4 linked regions of the Callithrix jacchus genome follow. The main gene of each other region encodes a partner of the protein of the gene in region 2 in a complex. Links are inferred from orthologs where the notes say so. Each region holds a gene or a part of one and is shown on either strand. Other genes may lie near its edges. The genes, in order: PRIM1, POLA1, POLA2 and PRIM2.

The links.
Region 1: the proteins of POLA1 (region 2) and PRIM1 are in contact, whole or in part, in a cryo-EM structure (PDB 7OPL), measured with the Homo sapiens proteins. The link is inferred for Callithrix jacchus from reciprocal best matches to the Homo sapiens genes POLA1 and PRIM1. Residues at the interface, in NP_058633.2 of Homo sapiens: Tyr439, Ala440, Pro447, Glu448, Lys449, Ser450, Phe876, Thr877, Thr878, Gln880, Leu906; in NP_000937.1 of Homo sapiens: Asn92, Thr93, Val94, Lys95, Leu96, Gly97, Ala98.
Region 3: the proteins of POLA1 (region 2) and POLA2 are in contact, whole or in part, in a cryo-EM structure (PDB 8G99), measured with the Xenopus laevis proteins. The link is inferred for Callithrix jacchus from reciprocal best matches to the Homo sapiens genes POLA1 and POLA2. Residues at the interface, in NP_001082055.1 of Xenopus laevis: Gln548, Lys551, His553, Gln554, Asn555, Phe642, Glu645, Val646, Gln649, Asn652, Leu673, Gly675, Arg676, Phe679, Lys1137, Asp1141, Pro1143, Asp1144, Ile1321, Gln1322, His1324, Asn1325, Lys1326, Leu1328, Leu1329, Arg1332, Ile1335, Lys1336, Tyr1338, Tyr1339; in XP_018112289.1 of Xenopus laevis: Met280, Tyr281, Lys282, Phe283, Met284, Phe285, Gln286, Lys287, Leu288, Met289, Ile291, Arg292, Val295, Ser296, Ile299, Glu314, Thr316, Leu320, Pro321, Gln323, Glu324, Thr325, Val326, Gln331, Gly333, Cys334, Asp335, Ser336, Asn337, Gly338.
Region 4: the proteins of POLA1 (region 2) and PRIM2 are in contact, whole or in part, in a cryo-EM structure (PDB 8G9F), measured with the Xenopus laevis proteins. The link is inferred for Callithrix jacchus from reciprocal best matches to the Homo sapiens genes POLA1 and PRIM2. Residues at the interface, in NP_001082055.1 of Xenopus laevis: Leu842, Lys853, Ile894, Pro895, Glu896, Leu971, His974, Arg977, Glu978, Leu981, His982, Glu985, Gln988, Lys989, Asn991, Glu993, Asn1007, Asn1009, Arg1101, Asp1102, Glu1106, Gln1109, Glu1221, Asp1224, Gly1225, Asp1227, Ala1229, Leu1230, Met1233, Trp1234; in XP_018121015.1 of Xenopus laevis: Pro34, Pro35, Thr36, Glu37, Asn38, Ile39, Ser40, Leu41, Ile42, Phe44, Glu45, Ile49, Ile107, Phe110, Ile111, Leu114, Cys117, Gln118, Ser119, Glu120, Asp121, Arg123, Ala240, Arg241, Leu243, Val245, Val246, Gln247, Arg251, Leu252.

Annotation. Positions count from the first base shown.
Region 1 is NC_133510.1:62,890,751-62,894,988, reverse strand, and holds the start of PRIM1 (DNA primase small subunit), read right to left. Parts: upstream 2,830-4,238; 5' UTR 2,772-2,829; coding exon 2,669-2,771; intron 1,709-2,668; coding exon 1,551-1,708; intron 1-1,550. UniProt on the Homo sapiens protein: Catalytic subunit of the DNA primase complex and component of the DNA polymerase alpha complex (also known as the alpha DNA polymerase-primase complex - primosome/replisome) which play an essential role in the initiation of DNA synthesis.
Region 2 is NC_133524.1:25,472,999-25,476,560, reverse strand, and holds part of POLA1 (DNA polymerase alpha catalytic subunit), read right to left. Parts: intron 3,200-3,562; coding exon 3,024-3,199; intron 1,226-3,023; coding exon 1,096-1,225; intron 606-1,095; coding exon 486-605; intron 1-485. UniProt on the Homo sapiens protein: Catalytic subunit of the DNA polymerase alpha complex (also known as the alpha DNA polymerase-primase complex) which plays an essential role in the initiation of DNA synthesis.
Region 3 is NC_133511.1:122,375,427-122,378,988, reverse strand, and holds part of POLA2 (DNA polymerase alpha subunit B), read right to left. Parts: intron 3,317-3,562; coding exon 3,192-3,316; intron 1,992-3,191; coding exon 1,953-1,991; intron 1,247-1,952; coding exon 1,173-1,246; intron 1-1,172. UniProt on the Homo sapiens protein: Accessory subunit of the DNA polymerase alpha complex (also known as the alpha DNA polymerase-primase complex) which plays an essential role in the initiation of DNA synthesis.
Region 4 is NC_133505.1:65,692,629-65,696,774, reverse strand, and holds the start of PRIM2 (DNA primase large subunit), read right to left. Parts: upstream 2,829-4,146; 5' UTR 2,757-2,828; intron 2,020-2,756; 5' UTR 2,011-2,019; coding exon 1,857-2,010; intron 1-1,856. UniProt on the Homo sapiens protein: Regulatory subunit of the DNA primase complex and component of the DNA polymerase alpha complex (also known as the alpha DNA polymerase-primase complex) which play an essential role in the initiation of DNA synthesis.

The sequences.
Region 1 (4,238 bases), on a different chromosome or scaffold from region 2:
TAGCAAAAGTATTTGGGTTTAAGTCCCAGCTCTATCATTTAGAAATTGTGTGTGAGCTTGGACAAACTATTCAAGTTCTCTGGGCCTGTTTTCTGCTTTGTAAAAAAGAATGAGGATTAATATAAAGAACAAGTTAAATAACATGAAAAACTCCACATAAAAGCTATTATGCTATGTATATATTCTCTCCACTTACCAGTATGTTTATTTGAGAAGGGGAAGAGGGGCAATTTTGGTTTGTTCATTCACTCAACATATATTTATGGTGTACTCTCTCTTGCTAGGCACTCTTACAGGCACTTAGTATATATCAGTGGCGGGGGTGGGAGAGTGGTAGGTTTGGAGGTGCTATTTGAGTAAAGATTTGAAGGAGGTGAGGAGATGAACCAAGTAGATACCTGTAGAAACGGGTTCTAGGCAGTGGAAACAGCTTGAGCAAGGGTCAGTGTGGCAGAAATGAAGTGAGTGAGGGGGAGAGAAGTGAGTGACTTTTAGTCAGTGAAATGAGCAGCCACCAGAGAATGTTTTGTGTAGAGGAATTACAGAATCTTAGTTGTTTTAAAAGGATCATTCTGGCTTCTGTATTGAGAATGAATTCTAGATTCTACAAGGGTAAACTCTGAGGAGGTTTTTATAGTAATTCAGATGAGATGATAATGTTGGTAGCACTGGTAGTAATGGCTGAATTTTAGATATACATATGGTATTGCCACAGGGATTTCCTAACAGAATGGGTATGGGAGTGTGAGAAAGAGAGGAGTCAAGAATAATTCCAGGGGTATGAAGGAAAAATAATATAAATATTTACTATGAATGAACTGTACATTTAAACATGGTAAAGATGGTAAATTTTTTTATGTATATTTGACCTAAGTAAAAATAAATAATTAAAAGAAAAAAAGAATAATTTCCATGGTGGGAGAGAATGTAATTCTCTTTTATTTCCCCCCCATCCCCTTTTTTTTCTTTTTGTGACAGTTTTGCTCTTGTTGCCCAGGCTGGAGTGCAGTGGTATGATGATCTTGGCTCACTGCAACCTCCGCCTCCCAAGTTCAAGAGATTCTCCTGCCTCAGCCTCCTGAGTAGCTGGGATTACAGGTCCCCGCAATTACACCCAGCTAATTTTTGCATTTTTGGTAGAGACAGAATTTCACCATGTTGGCCAGGCTAGTCTCGAACTCCTGACCTACCTCAGGTGATCTGCCCATCTCAGCCTCCCAAAGTGCTGAGATTACCGGTGTGAGCCACTGCCCCCCCCCCCCCCCCCCCCCCCCCGCCTCCTGTTTTAAATCATGTTGACTTCCTCTTCCTAGTAGCAAGATACTCAAGTTTTCCGTCCTAGTAAGAATGCAACCAATTCACTCTCAAACGATTTCATCAGCAATGTAAAATGCCGAAGAACAAAAAAGGATTAATCTACTTGCCAATTAAAAAGTGGCTTTTCATCTAGAATAAACTCTAAAAATTTAATCTCAAAATGCTAGAGGAACCAACCCATTCTCGGTTTCCAAAATAAAACAACAAAATACGTTAAAAAAAAGAGATCTTACTCTGTGGGAGTATACTGCGCCTATATCAATCTTGTATGGATTCATTTTCTGCATCTCCTTTTCCAGATCACTCTGGTTGTTGAAGGACTGGTAGCGAACGTAAATATCATCTTTCAATGTGAATGAAAATTCACGGTGTTGAAAGTAATTCTTTATCACTGGAAAATAAACGTACATTTTAAAGTTAATTTGCTATTTTATTTGGCTCGGGACATTATAACTTTAGCCAATGAGAAGTGTTTTTTTTTTTTTGGAGAGGGAGTCTCGCTTCTTGCTTTGTCGCCCAAACTGGAGTGTAGTGGGATCTAGGCTCACTTCAACCTCCACCTACCGGGTTCAAGCGATCCTCCCACCTCAACCTTCTGAGTAGCTGGGACTACAGGCACGCGTGCCACCACGCCCAGATAATTTTTGCATTTTTTGTAGATACGGGGTTTCACCATGTTGGCCGGGCTGGTCTCCCCCTGACCTCAGGTAATCCGTCCTCCTTGGCTTCCCAAAGTGCTCGGATTACAGGCCTGAGCCACAGCACCCAGCCAGAGACATTTGTAATGAGCCCCCTATGCTTAACACTGTGGTAGACGTAAAAACAAAGACACAAACTACCCCACAAGACCTAGTCCCTAATTTCAAAGCAGTTACCCTTCCACATTTGCTAGGGAAAGGTCCAAAAGACGAAACAGATGCGGAAATACTTTAAATATGTAATGCCACCCCTCTCTCCTCGATTTGCACTAATAAATTCAGCTGCAAGGAAGAAACTATCTCTACTCCTCTGAGAGGCTCTTCCGCTCCTGATGCAAAGCAGGCCTCTGCAGATACGCCCTAGTAACCCCCTGGGCACCGCAGCAAGTAAACAGGGTACCTAATGTGGGCCTGGCCACGCAGAGGTAGGAGCGGCGGTTCGGTTTTTTTTACCATGTGGCCGCAGGCTGGTCATTACATTCTGTCTCGGCCCATTTATACCTAGGAAGTGGTGGGGCGGGCTCGAGAGAGCATAAGAAGGCCCGCGGCACAAAGCCAGGCACACTGACGGCGCTTCACATGGTCATTCTAAGGACACCCCGCCTCCAACCTCCTCACAATCTATTCCTGACCCCATTCCCCGCCTCCATCACCTCCGCCGTAGTTGAGCCAGCGATAGTACTGAGAGTAGGGAAAGAGCCTCCGGTAATAAAGTTTAAGCAGCTCGGGCAGCTCGGTGGGGTCAAACGTCTCCATGGAGCGCGGAACTCAACCCAGCAGGGCTACCACAAGAATTGGCGGGAACAGCACAGCCGGCGGCCCCGCTACTGCGCAGGCGCTTAGGGCCGCGGCCCGCCTTCTGCGGGGGCCGCCGGGAATTGTAGTTCTCACGTGGTGTGGGCGGGGCCTGCGCGAGCCGCAGTAGTTGACGCTCTGCCTACGCGCTCGGGCACTAGGGCCACCGCTCTTGTGGGTAGAAGGCCGCGTGCATTCCAGGAAGAGGATCTTCTCCGGAAATGTGAGACCTGTAACATGTTGATTTAGGTTATTAAGATGAAGTTTTAGATTTAGATTTAAGTTATTAGGATTTAGGTTATTAAGATGAAGATGCGTGGGGCATTCTTTTTACTTCATCTTAATAATATAAATCAACTTTTTGGATGTTTTAGAAATAACACCAGTATCTTTTAAAAAGTTTTGGAGGCTGGCACGGTGGCTCATAACTGTAACCTCAGCACTTAGGCCAAGGCAGGAGGATTGCTTGAGGCCACACCGGTCTGGGCAATATTGTGAGATCCGTCACACACACACACACACACACACACACACCCCTAGCCAGGTGTAGTTGTGTGCGCCTGTAGTCCCAACTACCCCAGAGGCTGAAGTTGTGGGGGATCAATGGCTTCAGTCTGGGAGGTCAAGGCTGTGGTACACCACGATCGTGCCACTGCACTCCAGCCTGGGCAGCAGAGGGGACCGCGTCTAGAAAAAAGAAAAAGTTTTGGAAATTAGTTATTCATGGAATTTCATGGATTACTAGCTCCAATATGTGGAAATAAACAAATATCAACCAGATAAGAAAAGCATAGGCTATTTATTCAGACCTTACTATAGCAAGCGAGTCAGTCACCATCATTTGCATTTGGTAGGAACTCAAAGGCAGGCAGAGTAGTAGGAAAGCTTTATACTGGGAAAAAGGAATCCATCAGGGTATTCTTTAATTGGAGGCTGTTTGCTTGGAGAGTCTGTACGTGGGCAAACTTGAAGTAGGATGTGGTATGTGATTGGTTTAGGGGTGCATGTTTGGCTTTGGTTGGTTGGACCTATGTTGGAAGCTATGATGAAATTAAGGAAGCTGTAAGATATTACAGCATTTTGGGCCCATTGCTTCAGGGGTTGCTGTTTGGCCTCTAGGATCATCACAAGAGTTAGCAGTCTGACTTTCTACAAGTCTGACTTGTAGCAGGCTTGCTTCCTGTGCTGTTTATTATAGATAAGGGGGTTGGTTTCCCTGGCAGGTTGGAGATTGTGGGTCAGAGTTCTGTTTTTATACATGATCTGGTCACTGTTCATATATTCAATCTCTCAAACAGAACACCCAGGTATATGAAAATATGAATTATAGAAAGCTTGCAGCATCAGGGAGAGCTTTACAAGTATGAAGGGAACCCATTTGCTATTGATGTGCTCATCTGCCACTCACTCTTACTGTGTAATGATACC
Region 2 (3,562 bases):
AAAACATTCAATTCCCATTTCTGCATCAATTCATATCAGTGCTAATAAAACAGTAGCTAAACTAAGTTTTAGTTCTAAAGTGATGGAGGCTATTTCAGAAACCTAATTGTGGGTGACCTTGATCATACTAGTATAGAAAAATGCAACACAATAATAAAGGCTCATAGGTTCAAGAAAATAAAAGGTTTAACTGGCATTTAACTTTGGGTAGGGCTAAGGTGCCAAAACACATTCCATGTATGGTCACCCATCAGAGAGGTCTAATGCTTCCCTCAGAGAATTTCATGTTTCACAAATTTTGTCTGCAAAGAGAAAAGTGGATAAGGAAATGACACAAATACAAGGGAATAAACTTGACACGGTTTCTACAGTACACAAGGGATTTGCTATTTTGAAAGCAGATGTCATCACAGAAAAAAAGGCTATCTAGGTAATAAAAAGTAAGGGATAAGAGGAAACAAAATACTACACAGCTTTGGACCCACCAGTTTTTGCTGAGGCTTTCGGAAAATCTGCTTGTCAGGCACAATATAGTTGTTTTCATAAAATGCATGAAGCAACAAGAACTCGTTACGCTCGGATCGTCCACCCATCAGTGTCCTGGACTATTAAATGGAATCTCTTTTTAAAATTTGAGCTCAAAACCACAACTAACAAAAGCAACTTTGAGTCAGTTAAGTTTAGTCACATCACCTCCTTCAAAACCATTCCTAACAACAGGCTGCTTTAAAAAAAAAAAAAAAAGTACTAAATTATTCCTAACATTTTCATTGAGCATTACAGTTAAAGGAGACAAAGAGAGCTTAAAATATTGACAACTTGGCTATTTACTCCCAAATGGACCATTCCACCAAACAGACACATCCAGATGTTAGAGAGATGATCCTTATGTTCGTCCAAATTTCAACACACTGCACCTGGCATTCCTCCCCTTCTCCCAACCAGTTCTTCCTTTACAAAAGAAGTCCAGCTCTCAGAATCCAAGTTACTCATTTTATAAGCATGCATTTAGACTCATTATCATATAACAACTACCCCAAGCAAACACTGAATCCAACAGGAAATGCTTTTTCCCCCTTTCTAAGTTAAATTTACCATAATGTTCCCAGCGATGTTAGTGATCTGCAATGCTAATGGAAGAACATTCAGCTCACACATGATCTGCAAAATGAAGTTGGCATCTTTCCAGGTGTGTTCCAACAGGTATAACAGTTGGGAAGAGTCACTGTACAGAAAAGTAAGAATGAAACAGAATCAAATAATTAAAAGAAACAATGCCCATAATCATAACTTCATAAACTATTACAAGGAATTTTGGGTGTAAGTAAATTCAGAGCAACAGCATCTTGGCTTCAGAAACAAATTAAGGTCAGTATGTAACTAGGAATTCATTCATACCATTGATCCCAAAGCCTTTCTCACACACACACACACACTCACACACACACACACACAATCCCATAAAGAAAAACTGAAGTAATATAATAACTACAAGCCTGAAAACTATCTAAATCCTTTCATTCATTCCATCCAGTGAGTATATATTGCATGCTTACTATGTGCCAGGAGTTGGCTGTGACCAAAACAAACAAAACTTCCTATCCTCCTGGAGCTTATGTCCTCATGGGGGAGACAGAGTATAAAAAAGAAAAAGAAATTATGTATATAGTATGTTACATAACTTTAAAAGTTAAGCAATGGGAATATTAAGTATCGGAAGCAGAGACCGAAATTTTTATTAGGAAACAGTGGAAGATTTCACTGAGAATAAACATCTGGAAGAGGTAAGGGAACAAGCCTTATGGAAAGAGCACTCCACGCAGACAGGACAGCACACTCAAAAGCCCTGAGCTGCATGCAAATCTGGCAGTTCCAGGACTAGGAAAGAGGCCATATGACTGGGTCAGAGAGAATAATGGAAAGAGTAGCAGGAGATAAGGACAGAGTTAATGGCATAGAGACACACTGTATGGAGCTTATAAGTAAAAACAAGAACTTCACTTCTTACTCTGAATGAAACAAAGAGTCACTGGAAGATTCTGGACACATCTGACTTGATTTTAGCATAACTCTGGTTCTGGATTGAGAACCGATTATAAAGGGGTAAGGGCAAAAGGAAGGGGACAGGCATATAAACCCAGTAATCCAGGGGAAAAAGGATAGTGGCTTGGACAGGATGGGTTCAACAGAATCGGAAAGAAGTGGTCAGACTTCGAGATATTTAGAAGATAAAACTGACAGGATTCCCTCATACATCTACTGTGGGATATGAGAGAGAGGAACCAAAGGTGCCACAGAGATTTTGGGCTAAGTAAAACTCTGAAGTGTCCAGTGATAACGGAAAAATACGCTTACTAATTTAGTAAGGAAAGACTACAGGAAGAACCTAGGATAGAAGATTAGAGCTCAGTTTTGAACAAGCTGGGAGTTCACATTAGGTATCAAGTAAAATAGGTAAGTAGATACATTGATTCTAGAATTTAGGGAGGTCTAACCTGAAGATACACAGGTGGGAGGCATAGGCATCCACATGATATTTAAATTCCTAAGACTCCCTATGATCACCCAGAGAGGAAGCAAAGTCAGAAAAGAAGTCAAAGGAAGGACTCAGAAAGAACTAGCAGGAACAAACGAATGAGAGATGACCAGAGGAGTAGGAGGAAGAAATAAGCAAGTGATACCTCTAAATAACTTAATGATTGCTCAGTTTTTACATTTCCAAAGTATCTACCCTAATTCCTGAATAAACGAATTAAGAGTAGAAATCTAAATCCAAACTACTGTTAGGAAACATTAAGAAAGTGTTAACACAGGTGAGGGAGATAGAGATAAACTGATCAATTACAGTAATTCAAGAGCTAAACTAGTTCAAATTATGAAAGCAGTGGAGATGGTAGCACTGACAAAGACAATTTCCCCTCTACAGCACCACTGGCTCATGCCTCTCCAGACTAAGAATAGTACTGGTGTTCTGCTATTGTTAATTTCAAGACAGATGAATTCTGAAGAATCTAGGATCATACCTGTACATATTTCGTATATTTTCCATTGGGATTATAGCCCTTTCCTTTTTTAGAATCTGCTGAACAAGTTCGGACAGATGGTAGCTTTTACAACGAATCAATTCCCTTGCTGAAATTTCCACATCACAGATCATTCGACCACAGGTAGCATTTCTTTCACCAAATCCACTCCGGCCCTATGAGATGGAAACAAAAAGCAAATTTCATGAAAGAGCAGACACTGACAACATTTCTTTCTAACCTATTTTAAAGCTGACCCAAAATTATGATAAAACTTTCATTCTCCCATTTATCAATCAAATATTTTTGAACATTTACTATATATCTGACATTATTCTAGGCACTCAGGATACAGCAGTGATCAAAACAGAAAAGACTCCTAGCCTCGTTTGAAATGTATAATAAAAAATAGATACCATAAACAAGAAATTATATCATTTTAGGAGGTAACAAGTATATGGAAAATGGGAAAATAGAGCAGGGTAGGGGCATAAGGAATTTGGGGAGACTGCATCTTAAATAGGGTAATGGGGCAGACC
Region 3 (3,562 bases), on a different chromosome or scaffold from region 2:
TGCACAGCTCTCGCTTCACTGCTGTGACTTCTCACAGTTCCTTCTGTTTGGTCTATGGCAAGGATTCAAGGCCCCACCCTCACTGAGAGTTTCTGCCACCACTGGCTCTAGCCTCTGGTGGTGTCCTATGTACCCTGGGGAAGCAGTGACTTGGGAGGAACTTGGGCTCACCCAAAACAATTGCCTACACAACCAGATGTTTTGGGTCTCACAGGATTTCACTGTGTAAGTCACCAAACACTTCTGAAAACCACCCTGGGAAGATTCCCGTGGAATATTAGTTTATACAAGAGGGAGTGAGAAAAGGAACTAAGTCTAGAAGAAGAAGAGCAATGGAAGAGTGAAACCTTGTCCTTTCAAGTACGTTTATCTTTGCGTTTTACAAAAATGCCGCTTAATTTGGTGTCCACACTTGAAGTTCAAGAGTTCTATCTGATCTCAGTAGTTCAAAAAGAAGAAAAGAATAGGAAGTGCCATGATCTTTTTTTTTTGAGACAGAGTTTCACTCTTGTTGCCAGGCTGGAGTGCAATGGCGTGATCTCGGCTTGCTACAACCTCCGCCTCCTGGGTTCAAGTGACTCTCCTGCCTGAGCCTCCCAAGAAGCTGAGATTACAGAGATGCACCACCATGCCTGGCTAATTTTGTATTTTTAGTAGAGATGGGATTTCACATGTTGGTCAGGCAGGTCTTGAACTCCTGACCTTAGGAGATCCGCCTGCCTCAGCCTCCCAAAGTGCTGGGACTACAAGTGTGAGCTACTGTGCCCAGCTTCTTTTTTTTTTTTTTTTTTTTTTTTTGAGACAGAGTGTTGCTTTTTGCCTAAGCTGGAGTACAATGGTATAATCTTGGCTCACTGCAATCTCTGCCTCTTGGGTTCAAGTGATTCTTCTGCCTCTGACTCCCAAGTAGCTGGGATTACAGGTGCCCACCACCACGCCTGGCTAATTTTGTATTTTTAGTAGAGACAGGATTTCACCAAGTTGGCCAGGCTGGTCTTGAACTCCTAACCTCAGGTGATGCACCCACCTCGGCCTCCCAAAGTGCTGAGATTGTAGGCATGAGCCACTGTGCCTGGCCCAGCCATGACTTTTAAACAGTTTCAGTTTCTTAATGGGAAGCTCTGGAGAAACCTAGGAAGCTTAAGGTTCTGTCCAGTATTTTGAATTCTGACCTTCTTGTGCCTTCAATAATTGTTCGTAGACACTGCTTGAAAACATCTTCAAATGGACTTGTCAGTAGACAGTTCTGCAAGAAAGGAAAGGAGATAGATTTAGAAGGCAGATGTTTGGTGTTTATTCACTTGTGTAACATTGTTAGGTGCCAGCTGTTGTGCTACGAGCTGAAGGAGACGCAAAGAAAAAGATGTGGTCTTTGTCTTAAGGAGCTAAGTTTGGTCAAAGGCAGGAGAGGAGATGTGGGAATTAATCCTCTTGAATGCAATCTGAGAGACTAAAAGGAAGAGTACTTTGAAATATTTTCCGTGGAACGTAAAATATCATGAGACAAAGGATCAGAGGTTCTAGACGTCAGCCATGGAGATGTCCCACCAAGGCCCATTCGTGTTTTATGCAAAGGACAGCAAGATATGAGTTATAAGCCTGGGGTATCAGCGAGGATAGGTACTTTCACAGGGCAGCCCATGACTTAGCACCTGCATTTGTGCAAGCGCTCTTGTGCCTTAGCACCAGGCATCACAAACAAAGGAACATTGGTACTGATATATTTATATGTCCCTCCCCTAGCTTCCAGACAGCCTTATATTCCAGTGAAAGAAAGCCCTGGGATTCAAGGTCTTTATTAATAAAGTGCCCTGCTAAAATGATTTTCTGATTAGCCACAGGAATTAATGTGTTTGTTACAGATGTGGGATAAACACTAAAAAATGAAAAGTGAGAGCCTGACTGAATGCAAGTACCTAGGAGCCCTTCCTGCCCCAGCCTGAGTCACTCACCTCCACTTGCTCATGCTTAGCATCCAGGAAAGGGCCAAACTGCAAGGGGAGAAACAAAGACATCAAAAGAACACATCAGAATCACATGTGTCTGTGAATGACTTCAGCTCAGCTCTTCTGACAGTTCTCTGCCCAGGGCCCATGTATCCCTCCAAGGCTGCCTGTAGAGCCTGGGACAGCTAGCAGATGGGCTGGCAGGGGCACCAAGCCAATTTCACAGGCAGGAGCATGTATGCCCCGGATGGAGGGCGGCTCCCAGGGCCCCATAACCAGCACTATTGTCCCCTATAACATTGGGTTCACGCCTGTAATTCTAGCACTTTGGGAGGCTGAGACGGGCAGACTGCCTGAGCCCAGGAGTTCAAGACCAGCCTGGGCAATATAGTGAAATCCTGTCTCTACAAAAAATACAAAAATTAGAAATGGTGGCATGTGCCTGTAGTTCAAGCTATTGGGAAGACTGAGGCAGGGAGGATAGGGTAGGATCACTTGAGCCCAAGAGATGGAGGCTGCAGTGAGCTGAGAATGCGCCACTGCACTCCAGCCTAGGCGACAGTCTTGCTCTGCCTCAAAAAAAGCCACACTGGACTTTTTTCTGACTTTCTAAACCTAGCAAAAGAAATTGACCACCATACTAACAGTATTTTGAGCTTTAAAAAGAGATTAGTCCAGAAGTTGGAGTAATGAGAAAGAGGTAAGAATACTGTAAAATCAATGAAGGGCGGTAAAAAAAAAAGTTCACCTTTTATTTCTTCTTCTTCTTATTATTTTTTGAGATGGAGTCTTGCTCTGTTGCTCAGGCTGGAGGGCAGTAGTGCAATCTTGGCTCACTGCAACCTCCACCTTCCAGGTTCAAGCGATTCTCTTGCCTCGGCCTACCAAGTAGCCGGGAGTACAGGTGCCTGCACCATACCTGGCTAATTTTTCTGTATTTTTAGTAGAGACAGGGTTTCACTATGTTGGCCAAGCTGATTTAGAACTCCTGCCCCCCTCAAGTGATCCTCCTACCTCAGCCTCCCAAAGTGCTAGGATTACAGGCGTCAGCCACTGCGTGCAGCCAAAGTTGGGTTTTTCAATTTAGCGAAGGCCTATAGATCATGTATACCTCTCCAAAGACATAACAAATGAAAAGATATTTTCTAAAAGGAGGAGGAACTGACATGCTTCCTAAAAATTTAGAGCTGCATTAAAACTGTTTTCCAAGGCCATCTCCTCAGCTTTCCCACTGGTGCGTCTTACCAGGATGCAGACATCTGGCCGGTCGTGGTTGATGACGGCAATCAGGTCGAGGAGGGGGTCATATGTGATGCTGTCAGATGTGGTGTATGGCCCACAGGCAACCAGCACCATGGTTTGCTCAAAGTCTAAGACAGAGGATTGTGGGTCTTGATTAGAAGAGGACTGGCATTAGAGTGGTGGGAGGAGAAAGGACAATTAGGGGAAAATGCCACAGGGGTGAACTCATTGAGTCCTTTATGTGTGCAAGTCTGGGGACCCAAGGTGAGGAAGACCTCATGTCCATCCTCCAAGAACACTCCACTAGGTGGTAGAGGCAGAGACAGGCAGGTTTGCTAATACTTGGAACACGCAGTTGGCACTTTATGAGCGGT
Region 4 (4,146 bases), on a different chromosome or scaffold from region 2:
CTCCCAAAGTGCTGGGATTACAGGTATGAGCCACCGCACCCAGCCTAAGATATTGTTTTAAAACTAAATCCAAGACCAAATCTATGGAGGGCAATTCCACAATTACCTATTTACAGAACATGACAAGTAATTGCCAGTTTATTTCCTGTAACTACATTATATAAACTACACATGCTTATAAGAGGAAAATGTCCATCTACATGCAAAAAATATCCATGTCCCACAGCATAATCTAATACCAGGGATTCTCAATAAGGGAAGAGGATGGATGGTGAATAATCATTCCTATACGGAGCCACTGTTGCTGAGGAACAGAAAAGTATATCAATATGGAAAAAAAAAAATTCTAAGCACTCCTTGTTTGCATCCTTCATATGTAGCTGCCTGTTCGGCAGTTGGCTTCATTTACTCAGCATAGATTCATCAGAAAAAAAGCAGCCCTTCCTTTCCCGATGAAGCCAAGGGCAGGGCACAACAGTGAAGAAGAAAGGCCATCCAATCAGCCAAATGAACCATCCTGAACAGATGCTACATATTGTTCAAAGGTTCCTAAAGCCCCTTATCAATCGTTCCTCAGATGAATTATTATCTGGAGGCATTTGTGAAGTCAAGAACTAAAAACATCTAATTGTCTCCTGAACATAAACCCATGTCCCACAGGTACCTCCTTATCATGTTATCCAAATTTAATTATCCTTCCCTCATTCCTACTCCTCTTCCTGCCATGCCCATCTCCACCAGCAGACTTTCTCTGCATCAGATCATCCAAACGGGAACTTCAGCCACTCCACACCTGCTCCCTCATTTCTCATGTCCAGTCACCAAATCCTATCAATGCCCCTCCTCAGCATCCCTTATATCTCTCCCTTCCTATCACTGCCATTGTCGCTGCTGTAGTTCACACCCTTATCATTTCACCTCAAGAGCCAAACTCAAGGGACACTTTTCAATCACCATCTTAATCCCTCTGAAGGATCTGACACTGCTAAGCTTTCTAAAACTCTTTTCTCCCTTGTCTTTATTCTTTCACTCAACACACAGGTACTGAGGAGTGCCTCCTCTCTGTATTAGCATTGCTTATCATGCTCCTCTAAGAATGATTAACAGTATCTTACCTTTCCTTCTGATTTTCCCACAAGGATATCCTGGAACATAAACTCTGAAGACAATGCTAGTGTTTCTGCTTCAGTTCATGTCTAACCCATTCTTTCCTCTAGCAACACACTGAGGATAAGTAGGCCCCCAGGACAATGGCCATATCCTTCTTACACCTCATTATTACATGATTAGCATGGCACAAAATGCCCTCTGTTATCCATACTTCTCCATCCACCCTAAACTCCTGTACTTGTAACTGTTATCTCAAATAACAAATTCTCTTTCATGCTCCAAATGTTTGCATAGGCCATTATCTCAGCTTGGAAAAACTCTTCACTTCTCTGCTGGAAAATTTCTACTCATTCTTCAAGGTCCAGATCGCATTTCAACATCTCTAAGAAGCCTTACTTAATCAGACTAAGTCAGTCACTCTCACTTCTTTGTTTCAACAGCACTACCATTAACTTCTACTAGAGCAGTTAAAATACTGATTTATGACTATTATTTTGGATGTCTGTGTCCATGTACTAGAATATAGCTTCCACAAAAAATTATGTTATTCATCTCAAAATCCCTGCCACTTAGAACACAGCGGCACTCAATAATATGCATTGTACAATAAATAATGACTGAGTTCCAAAACCTCAATAAATATTTGTTGAATGGATTGCTGAACGAAGGAATTACTTTCATTCATTATCACAAAGGGTAAGTGAGCTTCTCAAGAATATATACATTCTAGTTTAAGTATCACTTACATTTAACTCTATCAATAGCCAAGTTTTCAAATTCTATTAAAGATATGTTTTCAGAAGGCGGCTGCAAGTAAAACTGAAGGCAATGAGGGTAGGAAGCATTTCTCTGGTCACCCGCCAACCACGGCATCCTCCGCAGTTTTCCAGTAAACTCCATCTTGGTCTCCTTAGAAGGAAGCACATAAAAAGCATAAAATGATGGAAAATAAAGTTGAAAAGAAAACAACAACAACAAAAAAAAGCACAAAAATCTAATTTCACAAACACAGGGGAAAAAAATGGAGTTGAAGGCATGCACAAAACGTTAACAGTGGCAACTCCTGGATGATATCCTTCTGTATTTTCCAGATTTTCTACAATACACCTATAATAATTTTGTAATGGGGGTGGAAGAAGTGCTAGAGGAGATGCAGGTGGTGAACCTAATTTTCATCAACATGAAAGTCAGGTGATGCCTGCTCATTATAGGCCTGTGTGTCACTTTGGGATCACAAGAGTTAAAATAAAGTTTTAGTGGTCTGCAATTCTGAGCTCAAGAGGAAACTGCCGTAGGTTCTGGCTAAATGAGGTTCTTATTTGATGGACTGGGTCCAGTTACTTCCTATGACTTTGGGAAACAACAACGGTCTTTCAGAACTCCTTTTAGGGAGCATCCACAAGTGCCTTATAAAAATTCCATCCCCAACCCCCCGCGCCACTCCACGGGCAAACCTATCTCCCCTCAACTCCTCTCTGGCACCTAGGTGCCTGCCCCAACCAACCAACCAATATCCAATACTCCGAACCCGCCAAGTCTGTCCTGCTCCTGCTGCCTGCAAAGTGATGGATTTCTCCTTTCTCTCGACTTGCAAGCCTCAACAATAAGATTGCTCTCTGTCCTAAATTCGCGGGAGTTTCCCTTACCTGCAAGAATTCAATCTCCGGAAAACACAAACTCTGACAGCCACTGTTCCCGGGTGGCGGGAGAGTTCATATGAAACCGGAGGCGGAAGTGACTAGCGCAGAAGGCCCGCCCTCCCCCACTTCCCGTTGGCGGATTGGAGGGGGTTGGGCCTTGGGCTTTGCGCATGCTCAGTGAAGCGCGTCTGGGAATTCAATGTGTTTCATCCACTTTGCCAGCTTTAAAATTTTTGGATATCAGTGTTTTGGGGATTTTTTTTTTAGATGTACTTCCTGTATGTGGAGTCAGCCGCTTTTAACGGTTGAAACTAGGATGCTGAATGCTAGCCAGCGAGGAAAATTCGCATATGCCGAAAATTAAACCAATATAACTTCGTTTGGAGACACCAAACAAACACTCCGTAAAATGAGGAAAATATGGCGCTTTAACTTGCAGGGCTGGCACTCATCACTTTCAATCGGGGGAGGAATGACGAAAACAGGCATTAGGATCCTTTTTGCACCTAGCTGACGATTAGGGGCTCTTTTTTTTTTTTTTTTTTTTTTTTTTTTTTTTTTTTCTCTAATCTTTCACAGACCGATAAAGCCCTATAATGTTGTATTACCCCCATTTGGCACGTGAGGAAACAGAAACTACAAGATCATCGTTAGTTTGCCCATCTACGTACAATGCGCATTTTGAATTTCCTATTGGGCGCAAGCCCTTTACTGTCAGGTTCCACATTCAGTTCACTTCCCCGCTCCCCGGCAATGCCTCGCACAGAGTAAGCGCTCAGCTGAATTATCTGTGGAATGAACTCGAATGAATGAAAGAATGCACATTCGCAGAAATCATTCTGCAGTCTACAGCAATTAGCAGAGCCCAGCCTCAGAGGGAAGGTAGGGTGGAAGAAGCGGAGCCGCTGGAGATGAAGTGGACCTGCCGCTTACTTTCCAGATGTCGGACTGCAGACTCCCAAGCTGCGGGTCAGAGCCACCCCAGTTCTCTGCTGTCTGCAAGATTTTCGAGAACTGGAATTAACTTCACTCGTGGCCTCTGGGAGGCGTGTCTCGCTTACAAATGTGCTGGGATGAGGTTCTGGTAACCGTAGTCCTTTGGAGATCAAATAAACGCTTTGAAATGTTCACGTTTTTAGAAATGCAGAGTATATTAAAACAATATCAAGCTTCAAAGCACCTACCCAGCCTAGACTAAACTGTAGCTGGCACTGACTTTATACCAGGACCCGTTCTAAGTGGTTTACATATCAACTCATTTTATTCTCATAACTATATAAGGTAGATTATTTACCCCCACCCCCACCCCCGCGCGACAGATTCTTGTTCTGTCGCCCAAGATAGAGTGCAGTGTCGCGATCTCACCTCACTGCAACCTCTGCCCTCGTGGTTCAAG